3 linked regions of the Danio rerio genome follow. The protein of the gene in region 1 purifies or fractionates together with the protein of each later gene. This does not show direct contact. Links are inferred from orthologs where the notes say so. Each region holds a gene or a part of one and is shown on either strand. Other genes may lie near its edges.

Region 1 (5,114 bases):
GTGGTGGGTTTTTAGCAATGACATCTCGCTTGGCTTCAGACCAGTTAAACCAGTTAAACATGTCTTATAAAAAAATGGTGAACACGCCTTACTAAATATGACAACAAAAACAGATATTGTTTCAACAACTTAAGGAGCTTTCAAGCTTTTTTGAATCGTGTTTATACAGTATTAAACATTTGTAAAAAAAAAAAAATAAATAACAATAATAATAATACATAAATAAATAAATAAGTAAATATAAATAAATATATATATATATATATATATATATATATATATATATGTTTTAGGACGTGTTTGGGACACAAAAATACCGTAAATGGCTGCTTTACTTGGAATTCTCGTTACTGCATGTGTGTCAGCCAATAACAAGGTTGCTACTTAAATACATTGAAAGTTCACCCAAAAATGAAATTCTGCCATCGTTTACTCACCCTTCACTTGTCACAAACCTATTTGAGATTCTTTTTTCCCCTGTTGAACACAAGTTAAGAAAATATTGGAATCTACTTCAACAGTATTTGTTTTTCCTATTATAGAAGTCAATGGTTGCTCCAGTTTCCCCCACCAGTCAAAAGACATGCGCTATGGGTGAATTGGGGAATCTAAATTTTCAGTAGTGTATGCGTGTACCCAGCAAACAATTTTGTGTTTATAGACGTCTTAATGACATCTAAACGTAGACAGCCTGGCTAAAACAAGGGTAAATTCGAGCTGTCAGAGAAAATCTATATAGACATCTAGCCAAAAAAGACTATCAAATCGACAGATTTAATAAGTGTAGTCATTCATTTCTGTTTGTTTGATTTATTTGGTTTTGACCTATTCTTTAGACGTCTATTAGATTTTTTACTGATAGCACAAATTAAGCCTTGTTTTAGCCAAGACTACCATGTTTAGACATCTATTAGGCATCTTTTACAAATAAAAAATACTTGCTGGGTGTGTCTTGATCTTCCGGGTTGGGGATTGAGCATTGAGCTAACAACCGACTTTGTAAAAATTTGATGTTATGAAACACCAACATGGTGCAGCTAAATATGAACTTCGATATAAACGGCCCTGATAGTAAGAAAGAACTCAATGGTTACCGGTTTTCAACATTCTTCAAAATATATTTTGTTCAACAGAAAGAAAATAAAAAAAGAAACAATAACTTTACACCTTGTCATAAAAACAGTAAACTGAGGCTACAGTTCACATGCCTTCACTAAACGAGCAGTTGAAGATTGGGAAATGGTTGCCTGGTCTGACGAGTCTTCATTTCTGCTACAGGATGTGAATAGAAATTAGTGTAAACATGCACGTAAAGATCAATCCTGCTTTGTAATTGAAGACTGGGCTGCTGCATGATGGTGCTGTAAAGATATGATGAATTTTTGGCACCTTTTTTCTGGCTGTCCTTGCACAGTGTACCTAGCGATGCGACTTCTAGCAGGTGAACGAGGCATGTCAAAAAGCTTAAATCAAACAATTAAACAAGTTTCTTGACAGTGAATTCACTATAGTCAAATTAGCCACTGCAGTAAACAGATCTCAATCCAGAGCACCTTTGGGATGCAGTGGAATGGGTGATTGCATCATGGAAGTGCAGCTGACAAATATATACCAACTACATGATGCCATCATGTCAACATGGACCAAAATCCTGAATGAATGTTTCTAACATCATGTTAAACCTCTGCCTCAAAGAATTAAGGGATAGTTCACGCAATCATTTACTCCCCCTCAAGTGGTTACAGATGTTTAAGAGTCTTTCTTCTGCTGAACACTAAAGAGGTTATTTTGAAAGAAGGAACCCCTGAATACTGTGGAAGTCAATGTTTCCAGCTTTCTTCAAAATATCTTCTTTTGTGGTCAACAGAAAAAAAGACAGATTTGGAACTTGTTAAAAGCGAGTAAATGATGACAATTTTCAGTTTTGGGTGAATATCCCTGTCAGGTACTAGTTTCAAATGCCAAAGGTCATTAAGTCTAGTACTAGCAAGGTTTACCTAATAAAGTGGCTGGATTGCAAATTAATCAATTATCCCAGAAAAAAAACCTGCTATTTTAATATTATTTTATGCTATTATATATTTTTATGCTACAATTTTAGTAATTTTAGCAATAAAATTGTAATTTTAAATTACAAATAAACACTGATTAGCATTCATTCTAATAATGGACTTGCACAATTTTATTAAATGTAGTTCATAAAAGACACACACATCCACATTTCCAGTCTGCTCAATGTTTAATGAATTAAGCAGATAACAAATAAAAGGTTGCCCACATAGAAATGCACAGAAAAACAGCTTAACAAGGCTAAAGTACAATTCTTTCAACGTTACCTAACAAAAATAGAGATGTAATTGTCAGCGGGCTAAGTGCTTTCAGAGGCATCCACATTGGTCACCAATATTTCAACCGGCTCTTCCATTAGAGCAGATTCACTGAGTGATGCCGATCACTCCACAGGCCAGACGACCACCAGCGTTGCCAGTTTTAAGACTTTCCTCATTGCCACCCTTCCCCAAGTCATCCTCCTTCTCATGAATCTACAGCAGGAAGACACAAGAGGTCGGCTGTTATTGCACAGTTATTGTCATTTAATGTGCCGCTTTTTATAAATGATGTCTTCCTTACCACCATGGTCCTCCCAATAATAGAATGTTGGCCTGACAGAGTCAGCATTGCATCCTCGATTTCAATTTTTGCAACACCACTGGCATCAGCGGTCACATTACCCAGGTCTCCGACGTGTCTAAGAGAGACAGTACATTACAGTAATAAAACATCTACTAAACCAAGACATCACACTGAACACATACTGTATTCCTAATGTGCATGCAATAAAACAACAAATCTTTCATTACTTCATTATTTAAATCAATCAATTATCTGTGTAATCGAAGGCGATTTTCAGTCATTCTATGCATTATTCCCTTCACACAGTTCTAATAGTCACCGCTTCTTTGAGTTAGCGCATGCTCATGTTGGTATAAGATTTGACAGTATCGAGCCAACAAGTTCTTGGGCAGCCTTTCCTCCTACTTTCACTGACCATTCCCAGCAAGACTGCCTTCTTGAGTGAATTGCTACGCATGACATGGGGAAGGATAGAATAGGATAATTTCTGTTTGGTGATCTTGGCCTCCGGCGAGGTCTTTGGCTTGATGCACACTAGGACTTCTTTGTTGGCGATTCTCGCTGCCCACGGGACGGTATTATTTATATTCTATTTATTTATAGCTTTTTGTTTATTGCCAATTAATATGTGTAATGCTATTTACACTTCATTTAAAAATTTTCATTTTCATTTTTCAATTGGGTAGCCATGTTTTTTTTTTTTTTAAGTTCCTCTTTTGACAAAAAATAAAAAAGAAAATCATAAAATGCTATTGCAGGATTTTTGCAGATATCATAGTGTCAAATTCAAGACTTTTAAAGACTTTAAGGCCATTAAGTATTACATTTAAGACCTATATCACAATACCAAAAACATGCATACGCATAAAGAGAAAACGCAAAATTTGTGGTAAAACAAATGTATTCAAATTGAACAGTACTGAAGACAGGTTAGATGCATCATTGAACTATAGGAAAAAAAAACAAACAAACATCTTATGCTGTCGCCTGGTGCTGCATCACGCACCTTCGCTGACTGCGAGGGCACCTCAAATGGACGAGGCTCTTTAAAACGACAGGGGCAATGAAAAGAAAGCCACCGTAAAGTCAGACGCATAAACAGAGAAATAGGAAGTTTCAGGAACTACGTCATATCATTAATATCGTTCAAGATTTTTAAACTTATTTTTTATGATTTATTAAAATGATTATAAAGATTTTTATAACCATTCAAGATTTTTTTAAAATCAAACTTTGATGCATCACTTGCTTTTGTTCATGTCTCGAACAGTTCTGCCAATTAATGTATAAAAGCAAAAAAAAGTACACTTACAAAAAACATATTCTGTAATTGTGTACCTGGTTCACTTTTGCCATGACCACTTTTGGCTTAAACTTATCCCTCATGTTTTTTTCAAACTTTAACAAAAGCTTTCATCTTTTCCCACAGCTGTTGCAATCTGGCTAAGAATTATTTGTCATCTGGTTCTCCACTATCACGCATGGACAGATCATAATGGTGTCTGTAAAGTCGTATACTCGTTTCAGACAAAATCTCTACAAAGGGATTCTTATTCAACTCAAATCAAACGCTGTGCGAACTGTTCACCCGAGTCTCAAATAATCCTGTGCGCTCCACCAGCCGAAAACACGTCGCGCGCATGACGCATGCCATGACATCACATTCGCTGCGTGATAACAGTTCGTTATTGAGTTCAATAACAGTAGGCTGATTGGCTGTTGCATGTTGGTCTCATTTGTAGTTTTTATACCGCATTTTATACCACATTTGGACTATTGAAATAAACAACTACAACACCACAAAAACCAAGCAACAACAAAAAATAATTTAAATGAGCATTAGATGTAGTGTTACATGGACATGGGAAAAATAAGACCGGTGCAAAAATATTTAAGACCTAGAACAGCAAATTAAAGATTTTTTTAAGGCCTAAAATTTCGATTTTTAAGTTTGAGACTTTAAGACCCTGCGGAAACCCTGTATTCGATGTTCTGTCTTCTGACACCACACATGCCTAAATTGAGATACAGGCCCATGCGACAAATGCAGATCAACTTTTAAACAAACAGGATTTAAGTAAATGGGACAACTTTGAGGGCAAGTAGAGTTTCTGCTTTCAGTGACAATCCGTACAGACAATAAATATTAGCATTTTACTATATATAGATACTGTAAATCATGCAAAACAGATGTATCAGAGCACACTGATAAACTCACCTCACACTATCGGTTGGCCCACCATGAGTTTTGTCATGAGGGTTGAAGTGCGGACCTGCACTGATGCAGCCTGTGATCAAGAGCAAAAAATAAATAAAAATAGCACAAGTGTGATTTGTGGCCCTTTAAACGCATTAAGTGCTTACACTATGAAAGTATGTAAGTGGAGAATTTAAAAACTTTTCAGAGCTGTTTACTCCTTCACTTTGGATTCAGAACCAGGTAAAAAATGGAGTCTAATGGTTTTAGGTCAAGGTTATTG
Region 2 (6,712 bases), on another chromosome or scaffold:
GGTAGATGTAAATACGATGTAATGACTGGGTTATTTAATAAATAATGTAAACAATCCTTGTTATAATTAATGTTTTTACATTACAAGCGGTAAGTTTAAGGTTGGATTAGGGGTAGATGTTAATACAATATAATTATTGGGGAATTTAATAAATAATATAAATAACCCTTGTTATAATCACTGTTTTTACATTACTGTAAGCGGTCATTTTAGGGTTAGGGTGGGGTAGACGTTAATACAATACAATTAATGGGTAATTTAATAAATCATATGAAAAATGCTGTGTATACCTTTACCTTACTGGGATGGATGGGTTAAGGGTTGGGGTAGGGGTAGATGTTAATAAACGGATAATTTACAGCCCCAAATCAGAAAAAAGTTTGGACAATTCACATCATTATTTAATCAATTTACCTGATCACTAGCCCTAAATTGCTCTGGTCCCAAGTTTTGCTGCATTGTGCTGCAGGTGAATGACAGTAAAGGATGTATATTTACAAATGAAATAATGTTGACCAGACAAATCACGAAATATTTTGTGTTTATATTGTCTCCAATAAAATACAAGTCAAAGTAAATATAGTAATCCCTATTGTCTTATTTTATTTGTGTTTTCCGTACTGTTTCAACTTTTTCTGATTTGAGGTTGTAATAAATAGCATAATTGTCGTTAACTACTGGCCGCAGCTCTAAGGTTGTCCATTGCTGCAGTCCAATTTGTTATTGGGATACATCCACAGCAGGAAGTTAACAATAATTTCTATACGGTCTACACGGTAGCTCAGAGGTTAGCACGATGACCTCTTGACAAGAAGGTCACTGGTTCGAGTCCCGGCTGGATAAGTTGGCATTTCTATATGGAGTTTGCATGTTCTCCCCGTGTTGGTGTGGGTTTCCACTGGGTGTTTTGGTTTTCCCCACAGTCCAAACACATACGCTATAGAAGAATTGAATAAACTAAACTGGCCGTTGTGTATGACTATGAGTGTGTATGGGTGTTTCCCAGTACCGGAAGGGCATCATGGATACGAAAAGGAAGTCAATTTGCCCAAGAGTGTATTGTTTAAGGTTTTGAAAAATTACAATGACACATATGACACATTTGACACATATTCCCAAAATATGTGTCAAAATAAGAGTTGTCACCAAAAATTATTCCATTTACTGAAACAAAGATGTGGCCAAATTAAGACTCAAAATCAGCCCTGAGTGGATGAAAACAACAACATTCATGATTTTAAAAAGTGTTGTGCACAAATTGATTTTATTAAAATGATTTCTGAAGGATCTATGACAATATGAATAGTTTTTCTGGAGTAGCATTTTTATTTGTTCGTAAATGTTAATTCCTTCATCTTTCAAATTGTTCTTTATCTGGATTGAAATGAACACGTTCATCCTAAAATGCATTTGAAATGACGATAAAATTGTCTTCAGAGGCAAATTTACTGTTACTAATACATGATGGCGAAGATGAGGCCGTTTCAAGCCCATCAACAAGCAAGTGCATCTGAAAAAAAGGTCTCCAGCGTCCTCTAGTGGCCGAAGATCTGCATTTCTTTAAAATGGCCTGCATTTTCTTTACAGTGAAATTGTTCAGAATTAAAAACTATTTTTATTTTATTTTCATTCATTAATTTTCTTATCGACTTAGTCCCTTTATTAACTGGGAAACACCCACACACTCTTGTATTTACACACATTCACAAAGGACAATTTAGTCTATTACATATAGCGCATGTGTTTGGACTGTGCAACATGCAAACCCACACAGGAATGCCAACTGACCCAACTCGAGCCGGCGACTTTCTTGCTGTGAGGCGATTATGCAACGATTGACGCCCCTTTATTTTATTTTATTTTATTTTATTTTATTTTATTTTATTTTATTTTATTTTATTTTATTTTATTTTATTTTATTTTATATAGTCAGTGCAGGTCAAAAAAACTGCATGTTTTTTAATGTCTAAGTAAATATCCAAAATATTAATTTAAGTGTTTTATCAACTCTATTTATTATTTTGTGTCTGTAGATTTCAGTTGAAATACATATTTCGATTGACTTATTAAAATAAATTAAAGCAACATAAAATATTTGTTGTCTTGAATTTTTGTCATATTTTAGTGTAGAAGTTACAATGTACTGTTACAAACAGTGACACATTAATTTTATTTGGAATAAGAACGTTACGAGGGATTAAAATTAATAGCATATTAAGCACAACATAAACACTCCACTAAATAAACAAATTAAAATTTAAGAAAAAAATATACCCAAGTTTGACGTGGAATCAATCTCCGTTTACAGATGATTCAGTAATCAAAATAAAATCTGTTATCTTTTAATGCCTTTTTTTTCTTTGAAAAAAGAAAAAAAAAGAAAAACAACAACAAACGACCATAGAATAGCTCCTTACAAGAAGAAAACTTTTATTTTGCCTGGTAGTTCCCCATAACCCACCTACTCCCGGAAACGCCTTCCATAATAAAAGTACATGAGTGAGGTTGCATTGCAGACACGCACAGGTTATTAGACGCACGGTTATTATGGCCGGTAAAAGAGCGTTAGTGATTCTTGCGAAAGGAGCGGAGGAGATGGAGACTGTAATCCCGGTGGATGTGATGCGCAGAGCGGGGGTCTGTAGACACAAAACATTTAACTCGTGCAAATGTGTTGCCAAATGTCAATAACGTGTGTCAGTGATGTCTGTATGCAGCTGGTATGCTAATGTGTGTTGGTATTCTTAACATGCATGCATGCATTAATTAACGTTAGTGCAGTGAAGTGAAGATAATAAAGTTGTACTGTATGAATATTGCTTGTGTGCAGCGTTATGGTGGTCAGTTACTGCTGCCAGTGTGTAAATGCCAAAGTTTGCCTCTCTACAGGACACATTACATAATCACTGATTCTATGTCTTGGTCAATTTTGAGAGAAAGTTGATACTTTCATTGGTCAAATATGGCTTTAATAAATAAATAATTATATTGTTGAGCTTTTGTGCATTACATTTAGGAAAGAATCTTGAAAAACAGTCCTGTCACAGTTCTGAATTTTATGCTTCTTGGCACATAAAAAGCTGTGATTTAATTAGGATTTAAGTTTCTTTTCATTTTTTAAATATGTTTTTTTTTGTTTTAAGAAATTATTTTAATTTTCTATATTACTTTACGCACAATTAAATAGGCCACTGATTTTCCTTAATGCTATGAAATTATTATAAAGAATTGGATTTTCATCAAAACTTTATAGTGGTTATTTCAAATAATTGTGATTTAGATCAAATGACCACAGATAATTAATCAATATTTCATCAATATCATGCAGTCTTTAAGTGAATAATAGGAAAAATCATAGCATTTAAATGCATCAACAGTATATATCATCATTAGGCCCACACAGAATCTGCTGATTTTTAAGCCATCATTCAGTTTATTTATTTACTTGTGTAAATGTGTTAAATAAATATATATTTAATCAGTTTTAATATTAATTTCAGTATTATCATAGAATAAGTTGCCAATGCTTAGATAATTTATGTGCAATACAATTTGTACGCTAATATTTTCTGTCTATTAGAGGATGTGTGATATAAAAGTCGTACTTTAGCTTTCTTATACAATGCTAGTGGGTCCAATTTTGCATTTGAATTGTAAACCTTAAATAACAATTAAGAAGTTATTTTTTATTTTATGTTGTTTTTAGCCCCTATACTCTCAAAATCACTTTTCATAAATAAATAAATTAAATAATAATAAAAAAACAGAGTATTAATTTAATCTTTTTTTTTTTTTTTTTTTTGCTTAATTTTGTGCAGAAATACAGAAAAAACATTTAAGAAATCTTTCTGTCTGGCTCTGGCCATCATTACTATAGTGAAATACTATAGTATTTCACTGGAATATAGCAATTTGGTTTCTAGTCATAAATTATGTCTCATGCATGTTACATTTAATTTACAAATTCAATAAATATCAATAAGCAGAGTGTTTTGTCCCTTTCTCGTAGATCGCTGTTACTGTCGCAGGTCTGGCAGGTAAAGAGCCGGTTCAGTGCAGCCGTGAGGTCATGATCTGCCCAGACTCCAGCCTGGAGGACGCACACAAACAGGTCTGACTTTACATATTATAAGTACCTGCTTATCTAAATTTTACAATTTAGTGTAACTCTTAAGTAGTTCTGCACAATACTGGGAAAATATGCAATATTTTGTTGTTGAGTGTTGCGATCATGATATTTCTTACGATATAACTAACTTTAAAAAAAAGTATACACCTTCTTTAAAAAAATAATTTATTTATGTAATATTTAAACTAAAATAAACAGGTACTAGATATTTTTCTGAGCTAATTAAATCTCAAAATAAATAAATGATAGGGGTATTCGATTTTAAATCAAAATCAATCGAAACTTATGCTCAATTTCGATTATCGAATCAAAAAATAGAATCGTCGATGCTGCCACGCCCCCATGTCACGTCAGGCCCGTTGCAAATCCGCTCGCAAAAGTACACCACCAAAGGTTGATCTCTAGAGGTATCTGTCCTGGGTCATTCTTTGTCCTTGGCGTAACCCGTCTTTGTGATGTCTGCCTCGAGGTCACGTCACCAGGTATATCTTGGAAGGCCTCTCTTCCGCTTTCCTTTGCGGTTTCATCTAAGAGCTTATCTGGTGATCATCACAGGTTGGACTCAGCATGCACACAGAGAAGACCAAGATTCTTAAGATCAACTACAACAATCCATTAACTCTGAAGGAGGTACAGTCTTTTACTTACCTGGGCAGTGTCATCGACCAGCATGGTGGAACAGATACTGACATTAAGGGCCTACTTACACTATGCCATCCGTACCGTGCCCAGGCCCGTTTCCTGGATTGTTTGAGAAGTGTGAGTGCACTGAATCGGACTCAAGCACGGTTCACTTGGCCGCCCCTGGCCTGGTTGGAAGAGGTGGGCCTGAGCGCGGTTCACTTGGGCTCAAAAACTGAAAGCGAGACGTGACTTTTAAAGGGCTCATATGGATTTATTAATCATTCTTACTGTTCAGTGAACGCAAACTGCCGTAGTTTATTAAAGACGAGAACTCCTCACTGCATGACAGCTGCGCTCCTTCAGCAGACCTCCTCATTCCTGCAGCACGAGAGCTTTATGATTGTTTATAAGCGCCAAAAGTGACGGATCTGTTCGGCAAAATATCTGACTGCGTGTCACCGCATCCCTAAGGACTGTGTGGTGAAATATTTGACTGCATGTCACTGCATAACAAACGACTGACACAATATATAACTAGAGTTGTTGTACAGGTTTGAAATTTAAAGGTTAACCAAAACTACTACCAGAAGAACCTATACATTCATCAACACTTGTCTCACAAAGACTCTATACATTCACAGGCCTGTCATGATCTGTAACACCAACCTATGGGGAGGGACCCATATATATTTATATATTTTTAAATGTATATAAATATATATATATATATATATATATATATATATATATATATATATATATATATATATATATATATATATATATATATATATATTGAATAATCATAATTATAATTATGACCAAAATAAGCATTATTATAATTTTTCATATAATCGAGCAGCCCTACCTACTCCTGCTTTCATCTCTGAACTGATTTGGATTTAAAGAACGTTGAAAGTAAATAAATGGAGTATTGTCTCCATCTTCTGGCCAAGCAATGCATTGCCAATAAAATAAGCACTACTGCTTTACCACTGAAATTCATTAGGTATTCTTGCTTTATTAAAGGATCTTAATTTTAAATAAGAAAACCCTTACAATATTCATGAGACTCATATACATATGCAAAATGTCAAATATTCTGTGGGAGTTCAGTTTAAATTGAGTTGCTTTCATTTAATAAAACAAGAATTCCTAATGAAATCAATGGTAAACAGTATTTCTGCATATGCATAATATAAACAAAGCAAATGTTCATGATTGTTTTCTTCCTTGTTTATATACACATGCAGAATGTCAAATATTCTGAGGGAGTTCAGTTTTAATTGAGTTGCTTTCATTTAATAAAACAATATTTCCTAATGAATTTCAATGGTAAATAAGTATTCTAATCAGTATGTAACCAATATGGTTTTATGTCAGTTGTGCATGTCATTTTCTTTCCTAAACAGGGTCCATATGACGTTGTTCTTCTGCCTGGAGGTTTGCTTGGAGCCCAGAACCTTTCTGAGGTACAAATCTGTTTTAATTATGCATGTTTTACAGTAGAGTGAGTTCCATAGGAGAGCTCTTACGCCATTCGAGTCTTACATAAGGTTATGAGTGTTCCTCAAATCAACAGAAAACATCTTTGAGTCATCTGCCGAGGTTAGAAACACGGTCGCATTGTGAAACGCAAACATTGCGCAATTATGTAAATTGAAGCAGTGTTGTGACAGTTGTTTCTGTAGTGCGTCATATACATATAAGTGTGTGTGTGCATGTGTGTGTTGTAGTCTCCTGCTGTGAAAGAGGTGTTGAAGGACCAGGAGGGCAGGAAGGGTCTGATCGCTGCAATCTGTGCAGGTAATCTTCATTTGGTGACCTCTGTGCACACATTAACCTTTTCCTGGATAAACATCCACCATTTCAACTGCTCTATTAGGCATAATGTCAGGAAGACACGTCATATATTACCTTTTTGGTAACACTTTACTTGACGGGGTGTTCGTAAGACTG
Region 3 (6,775 bases), on another chromosome or scaffold:
TGCGATTTTTCTGACAGATATTGCTATTGGATTTACGAATAATTTTGTAGTCGAGCTCAATATTCTAAGTTGTGGCAACAATTCTGCAACAGCTCTTAAAAATGACCTGTTTTTGACTTTGAAAACAAAATATTCCCAGTGCTGTTTTTCTTTGGTATTAATTTGTCGATTAATGCTTCTGAAGCAGCCGACACCATCATCCCACTTATCAGCGCTTTCCGGTTTGGTTTCTCTTTTTTATTGTGGCTGTAGTTCGGTTGCAAAATTCTGATTGAGCAGAACAAAAGTGTGCTCACTCAATTGGCTGGTAAGACTGTCACACACAGCCATCAGTCGCTCATGTGCTCTGGGTGGGGGAAATTAAACAATATATACATTTCATATTGCAGCCTCTTGCGAATAACTAATCACAACGTTTTAAATTGGGATACGAGTTTGATTAATCTCACAGCTCTACTTGGCTTCATCAACACTATAGGCGATTTTGAATGATAAAAATATTATAATACACATACTCATAAAAACTTTTTGGTCCATTTAAAAAAAGAAAAAAAAAAACGCACATTATAATATATACACATTTATTTTCTATTTAGTATTAGGCTACAATATTATTTTGTTCCTCCTACTAATAATATACTATTACAATTACTATAATAATTTAATTATGATATTTACACATTCAAATGTTATTAGTTAGAACTTGCAATTATCTAAATGTTATTTATTATATTTGTTTTTTAAATTACTTATTTGAATCTCACAAATGTTCATCTTCATTTAATAATTAGATGGTATACATTTTCTTTTAAAAAATGCTTATAGTAATAATTTGTAATTTATTAATTAAATTTTTATTATTATTATTATTATTAGTTAATTTATTATTTTGTTTGGCTAATATTTTACAATAAAATCTGCATGAATGACCCCTTTCCCCAGTTTGAGAACCTCTGATTTAATCAATGACGTGGCCCCGCCCAAAACTGACAAACATTGGTTGAAGCAGGCAGAAATCCTTTACTGATTGGCTGATAGTAGCCAACAAATCGAAGAATCAGTTTCTTAAAAGATCCTAGTGTGATTTTTCATTACAATTTCGGTGTTCGGTTAGGCATAGAGTACATTTAATGCATGGCAGTCACACACAGAAAAAAATATCTGAACAAGGATAATATCTGAACAATCCCTAACCAGCAAGGGAAAAAAAGCCTTGTGTCGAGGTCACATGATACGGATGCCAAAAATTTGTCTTTGCACTCGCCGCCCCCTCCAATGCTTTACACTGGCCATTCATTCATTTTTTAAGCTAATTCTCCTCTTATTTGGTGTCCAAAATGTCAGCACCTCCCCTTAAAACATGTTCTGGAATATACGATATCATCACTTCATGGATCACATGGACACTTACAACAATGTTTCGTAAAATCAGAGTACCATGCATTTAAAAAAATGTTTAATATAACATTAGACTAACATTTTCAGTGTAATGTTATTTTGTATTTAATGTAAATACTAATGTTTAAACAATCGTGTCTTGTAAAGCCTGTAGTGAGTCCCTCTACTACCCCACGTGTGTTCAGGGCGTCACAAGGTCAAAATCACTCCGCGTCACGACACAGACGGAAATGATGCCTTTCATCTCCATGAGTTCACGTTATAAAGTTCCCTGGATATTCCTTTTGTTTAATCAAAATCAACCATAGTAGATTTTACACCGCTTAAATATTCCAAACATAAAAATATTTAATATTCGTAGGCCTCAATATAGCATAACTTGCAATAGTCAACTGAACACCTATAACCACTATTATACTGTCTTAAATTGCTTATAAAGCAACAGCTAAATTAAACACATGCATTACAGTTGTCAGCATAAGTGCATAACGTTATAATATGCAAAACACCCTGCTTACTATAAAGCCGGCTATTCTAATGGCTGCATCTGTCATCAAGGATAAATGTTAAAAAAAAATTAACTAATTGACAAGTCGTTCGACAAGAAACATGCACGATGCTACTTTATAACTCTGAGAAACAACGTGACAGTGTGTTACATGATTAACTTACATGCTACGATACGTCCCTGCCTGTTTGAGCTCACTGATTTCAATTATCTTTATATCAGCTTGGCATTAAAGAGCATTAAGCAATATATTGTGTTTATAGGCTTTTATGGATGAGGATAATGCTGAGTGACTTACTGCAGAGTGATCTGGAGGTGAATGAAGGGATGCGCGTGTCCGTCAGCGGAGCAGGCTGAATGATATAAGAGGAGCCGCTTTAGAGCCGCTGCAGTTCCACTCGACGCACATGTGTTCTTCATCCGGGTAACCTCCCCCGCAGCCCTGACATCTGCATAACTCAATACTCTCACATTCTATGTATGCGTTATGCTTTTTTTAAAACATACGCTTTCAGCAACTTTTGTCTCAATAATAATTGACGTATTTTGACGACAGTGGGAGAAAATGTGAACAAAATGTATCATTAATATCTATTAAATCGGTGTTATGCTCGTTCCGGGGCTTTAAGTTCGAGAAATTTCGCAGATTCTATTGGAGAAAAATAGACGTCAGAGGTCAAGATTGTGCAACCAGAAATGGTATTGCGTTTTGCAAATTTCGTTGTTTTTTTTGTTAAAGGTCTAATATTATAACCTTTTCTTATAGATTATCTACATATTAAGTCAATATATGTGTATTTATATTATATAATTACAATACTTTATTATTAATAATATTAGTATTATGTAGAAAGCTCAAGATAGCTTTTAAAAATGCATTTGAGTTGAGTTATTTGTCAATTTTATCTTTTAAAAATAAAAATCATCTATATTAAATGTGTTTGAATAACGTGAAATTTTGTACTGAAGCAGCACATGTATTATTCATTTAAATATTGTGCAAGTTATAAATGCTGTAACAATCAGATAAAAATTTCTCCTTTGTTACGAAACAACAAAAAAAGAGTCAAATGTCTTTATGTAAGGTTTGGGAGATCGAGGAATATTCTAGATTGCAGGTCTGGGGTCGGTAGGGATTGTCTTGTGGCGCATGCGCAGTGCCCTTCCAGACATTTCTTCTTCACGTGGATCGCAGGAGTGAAGTGGTCCAGTGTGACGGTCTCTTGCTGCTCTGTCGGACGCGGTTTTCTTAAAGATCAGCTAAAATGGTAAGACGCGTAAGATAATTAATCCAACTACTCCGTCTGAATGAGATGTTACTATGTTGTGTTGAATTGTTTCGCGTGATGTTTTATAACTCCCCATCAACTGCGACTGCAAGGTCACGGTTAGTAATGCAGTCGTGCCCAGATTCAATGTGTAAAAATGATTTGATGCTGAAGTTGTTAGTTAATATGGGCACGTGAAGTGTGGGTGAAAGGTTGGTTTATGTCAATAAGGTTCAGAGCTAACCCGATGTATTTAATGAATAATTTTGCTAACAGCTGGTTTATACACCAGCGTAACATTTTGGTATAACGTTAACGTTAGATGTGTAAATGGGGTTTTAATAGTGTTAATGTTACACGATAAAAAAAATGCACCTGACATTTTGTGTTATAAATACTTAACGTGTTAAGAGTGTTTTTCTTGTATATCCGTCACACATTGTGTAAAATTGACTTAATTTTCGTTATAATAACTTAATAATTCACGTTGTGGAAACACTCAGGCTCAAAGATCAGTACAGCCAATAGTGTTTCAGCTAGACATGAACTTCCGGGTCATTTTGAATAGAGGCGAACGCATGTGCATTATGATGGACACTGCTGTAACTACTTTGTATTTTATTGAGACAGATATATATTTTTAAATGCAGGGTAATGCTTTTATTTGTGCATATTTAAGAGAAAGTTTACCCAAAAATGAAATGTACTTTTACTCAGTCCTGAAGAGGTTCTATATCTTTGAGCGTTTTTTTCTGTTAAAAAGATAAGATATTTAGAAAAATGTTGGAAACCGGTAGCCGTTAACATCCATTAAAAATATATATATAAAAGTAAGTCAATAACTACCGGTTTCCAATAGCATGCTAAGTGATGTGCGTATTTTATTTTCTACTAGATAGTAATCGAGTCATTTGTGCCACGACTTGTGAGTTATAAATTTGCCTTGTAGTTTGCGGCCAGGTGAAACTGATTTACTCTAGAATCTTCTACACGCTTGTCTGTTCTGCCTTCAGGGTTCAGGGTTTATCATGTTGCCTGTCCTTTTGTCCTTCAGCAGTATGGTAAACATTTACAAAACCTCCAAAACTTTTTCCTCCCCCACACTAACCCTCAACATCTCCTGTCCCATCAACCCTCCCTCACACACGACCTTCTCCCAAGGTCACACACATCTGTTCTCAGAAAAGCAGCAGCTGTTGTCTTTGTAACGGTATGATACAGAGTGTTTGATGGTCAGCACTTTTCTGGAGTCAGCCTAAAACTTATCTTTGAAAGAATGCAAACCAAAGATTTAGTTACAACTGAAATCAAAAATCAGTTGTTCTTTATTATGGGACTCCAGTTTATTTTAAAATCATGAATGAACACTTTTGGTCATGGAATAATCATTTAGCAAAAGCCGCAGACGAAAATGAAGACAAATCTAAAGGGATAGTTCACGAAAAAACTCTAGAAAATTCTGTTATATTTACCTTTAACTCTCAGTTTGTCTTTTGTTGAACAGAAAATAAGTTATTTAGAAAAATGCTGAAAACCTGTAACCTTTGGTTATTTCTACCATGAAAGTCAATGGTTACTGATAAAAACTGTTGGGGTTTTTTGTGTGACGCCCCCTTGTGTGTGTTTTTTTCCCTTTTCAAGTGTTGCGAAACTGTATCGACTATTTCTCCACTGCACTAAGCATGATTTTTTTTTCCTTTCTAGCAGGCTTTCCGGAAGTTTCTCCCCATGTTTGACCGTGTGTTGGTAGAGCGGCTCGCTGCAGAGACCGTGTCAAGAGGAGGCATCATGATTCCAGAAAAGTCTCAAGCCAAAGTGCTGCAGGCTACCGTGGTAGCAGTGGGTCCAGGATCCACAAACAAGGTAATTTTTATTTATTTAAAATTTTATTTACATTTTTCATTACAGTGTGTGAAATCAGAGTTTTAATTATTTCTGTTTTTCAGGATGGGAAAGTAATACCTGTCTGTGTCAAAGTTGGGGATAAAGTTTTGTTGCCGGAGTACGGAGGAACTAAAGTTATGCTTGAAGATAAGGTTTGAACATTTGCCGTTTATTGACTCTTACTTTTTATCCATTTAGAACAGAGATGCCCAAACTAGGGGCCCATGGGCCAAAGTTGGCCCATACTAACCTTTGTTTTGGCCCCTCATCCCATCTGAGAAAAGAGGGAGAATGATGGGGATGATTTAGAGATTGTCAATTAAAATTTAATTTAACCCTTTGTTTGTTTTATTGTTAAAAGCTAACTGAAATTAAATGATGCAAATTAATCAGATTTTAATTAAATACTGGCACTCGACAATGCAGAGACTTTGATGAGCAAATTAACCTGTGTATTCAGCATTGTACTCCACTGTGTTATAAATGTAATTGTTTGTTTTTATTGCTATATGTTATCATTTTAAAAGTTATACTGCATTAGTTAATACAATTAAGTAATATTTTCTATTTATTTTGAAATATTATGAAATAAATTAGAAAATGACCCATGGCAACTTGAATGTAAAATAGTTTGGTTTGTTTACCTTTGGCCCATGGCTATCAAGAATATTTGCTTTTTGGTCCTTCATGTGAAACCTTTTTAAGCACCCCTGATTTCTGAGGTTTGAGTTTTTTTTTTTTTTTTCTTACAGAAACCAAATGTATTTGCATCCAAAATAACGAAATTGAAATGTAATCTATTTTATAATGATTGTTTGATTTATAAACTGCTATTCTTCTTTTATTTTCTTTTGTAGGACTATTTCCTTTTCCGGGATGCAGATATTCTTGGCAAATACGTAGATTGAAGTCAGCTTGTCCAGCCATCTGTGTCATTCTAAAGTGCATAGAATGAAAGATTGTTCCATGTTTGTTTTCATTTTTCTATGTCATTTGATTGTAAATAAGTATGATCATGTTTTGTTAAAATAAAGTGATCTTGATGTTTCATCTCACTTTTTGAGGTTAACAGTTTTGAAATTGAACATGTGACCGCTGAAACGTATACCAACTGTATAAACTGGGAAGTGATATACATCTTAACAATTGAAGCATTGCCAAGACTTTATAGTTCATATACATGAAAATTGTTTTTAATTTTGGTAGATTATGAATCACTCTTCTTTAACTTTTTAAAATGGAATGAGATGGATTTTTTTAAGTAACAAAAGAACTGCTTGTTCTAGTGGTAAAAAAGGTTATTTTTTTAATTTATTAGTTTTCTTTAAATTATATGATTTTGAATTCTATGTTGGATGTGATCAGAAGTTAACTAAAATAATTAGATAGTGCCTCCTGAAAGTAATCCAATTCCTATAACTCCTCGCATTGATGTTTTTCAGCTGACTACATTTTTATTCATTAAATTTTTGGAAATATTCTGAAGACGGCTTCTTCTTATTTGGACAGATTTAGAATCAGTGGTCAGATTGTCACTGACTGGCATCTTTTCTGTAGCTGAATACAGGAACATGCATAACAGTACACAAAATACAATATCAATCAAAAAATGACAGTGACAAAAAGTACAGTACTACAGGAAGCAATGGAAATAACAATAGCATCATAAAATTAAAGAAAAATAAGTTTTTTTTGCATTTACAAGGGTTACTAAAAA

What was found.
Region 2: the proteins of sod1 (region 1) and park7 purify together in Homo sapiens (affinity purification with mass spectrometry; 4 studies listed by BioGRID and IntAct, with this or other methods). This does not show direct contact. The link is inferred for Danio rerio from reciprocal best matches to the Homo sapiens genes SOD1 and PARK7.
Region 3: the proteins of sod1 (region 1) and hspe1 purify together in Homo sapiens (affinity purification with mass spectrometry; 3 studies listed by BioGRID, with this or other methods). This does not show direct contact. The link is inferred for Danio rerio from reciprocal best matches to the Homo sapiens genes SOD1 and HSPE1.

What each region holds. Positions count from the first base shown.
Region 1 is NC_133185.1:30,630,219-30,635,332, forward strand, and holds the end of sod1 (superoxide dismutase [Cu-Zn]), read right to left. Parts: intron 4,923-5,114; coding exon 4,853-4,922; intron 2,750-4,852; coding exon 2,632-2,749; intron 2,544-2,631; coding exon 2,436-2,543; 3' UTR 2,221-2,435; downstream 1-2,220. UniProt on the Homo sapiens protein: Destroys radicals which are normally produced within the cells and which are toxic to biological systems.
Region 2 is NC_133186.1:43,777,831-43,784,542, forward strand, and holds the start of park7 (Parkinson disease protein 7 homolog), read left to right. Parts: upstream 1-2,489; 5' UTR 2,490-2,547; coding exon 2,548-2,637; intron 2,638-4,009; coding exon 4,010-4,111; intron 4,112-6,165; coding exon 6,166-6,225; intron 6,226-6,489; coding exon 6,490-6,559; intron 6,560-6,712. UniProt on the Homo sapiens protein: Multifunctional protein with controversial molecular function which plays an important role in cell protection against oxidative stress and cell death acting as oxidative stress sensor and redox-sensitive chaperone and protease.
Region 3 is NC_133184.1:33,978,607-33,985,381, forward strand, and holds hspe1 (10 kDa heat shock protein, mitochondrial), read left to right. Parts: upstream 1-2,552; 5' UTR 2,553-2,605; intron 2,606-2,660; exon of another isoform or gene 2,661-2,789; intron 2,790-2,991; 5' UTR 2,992-3,171; coding exon 3,172-3,174; intron 3,175-4,878; coding exon 4,879-5,037; intron 5,038-5,120; coding exon 5,121-5,210; intron 5,211-5,915; coding exon 5,916-5,966; 3' UTR 5,967-6,543; downstream 6,544-6,775. UniProt on the Homo sapiens protein: Co-chaperonin implicated in mitochondrial protein import and macromolecular assembly. Together with Hsp60, facilitates the correct folding of imported proteins.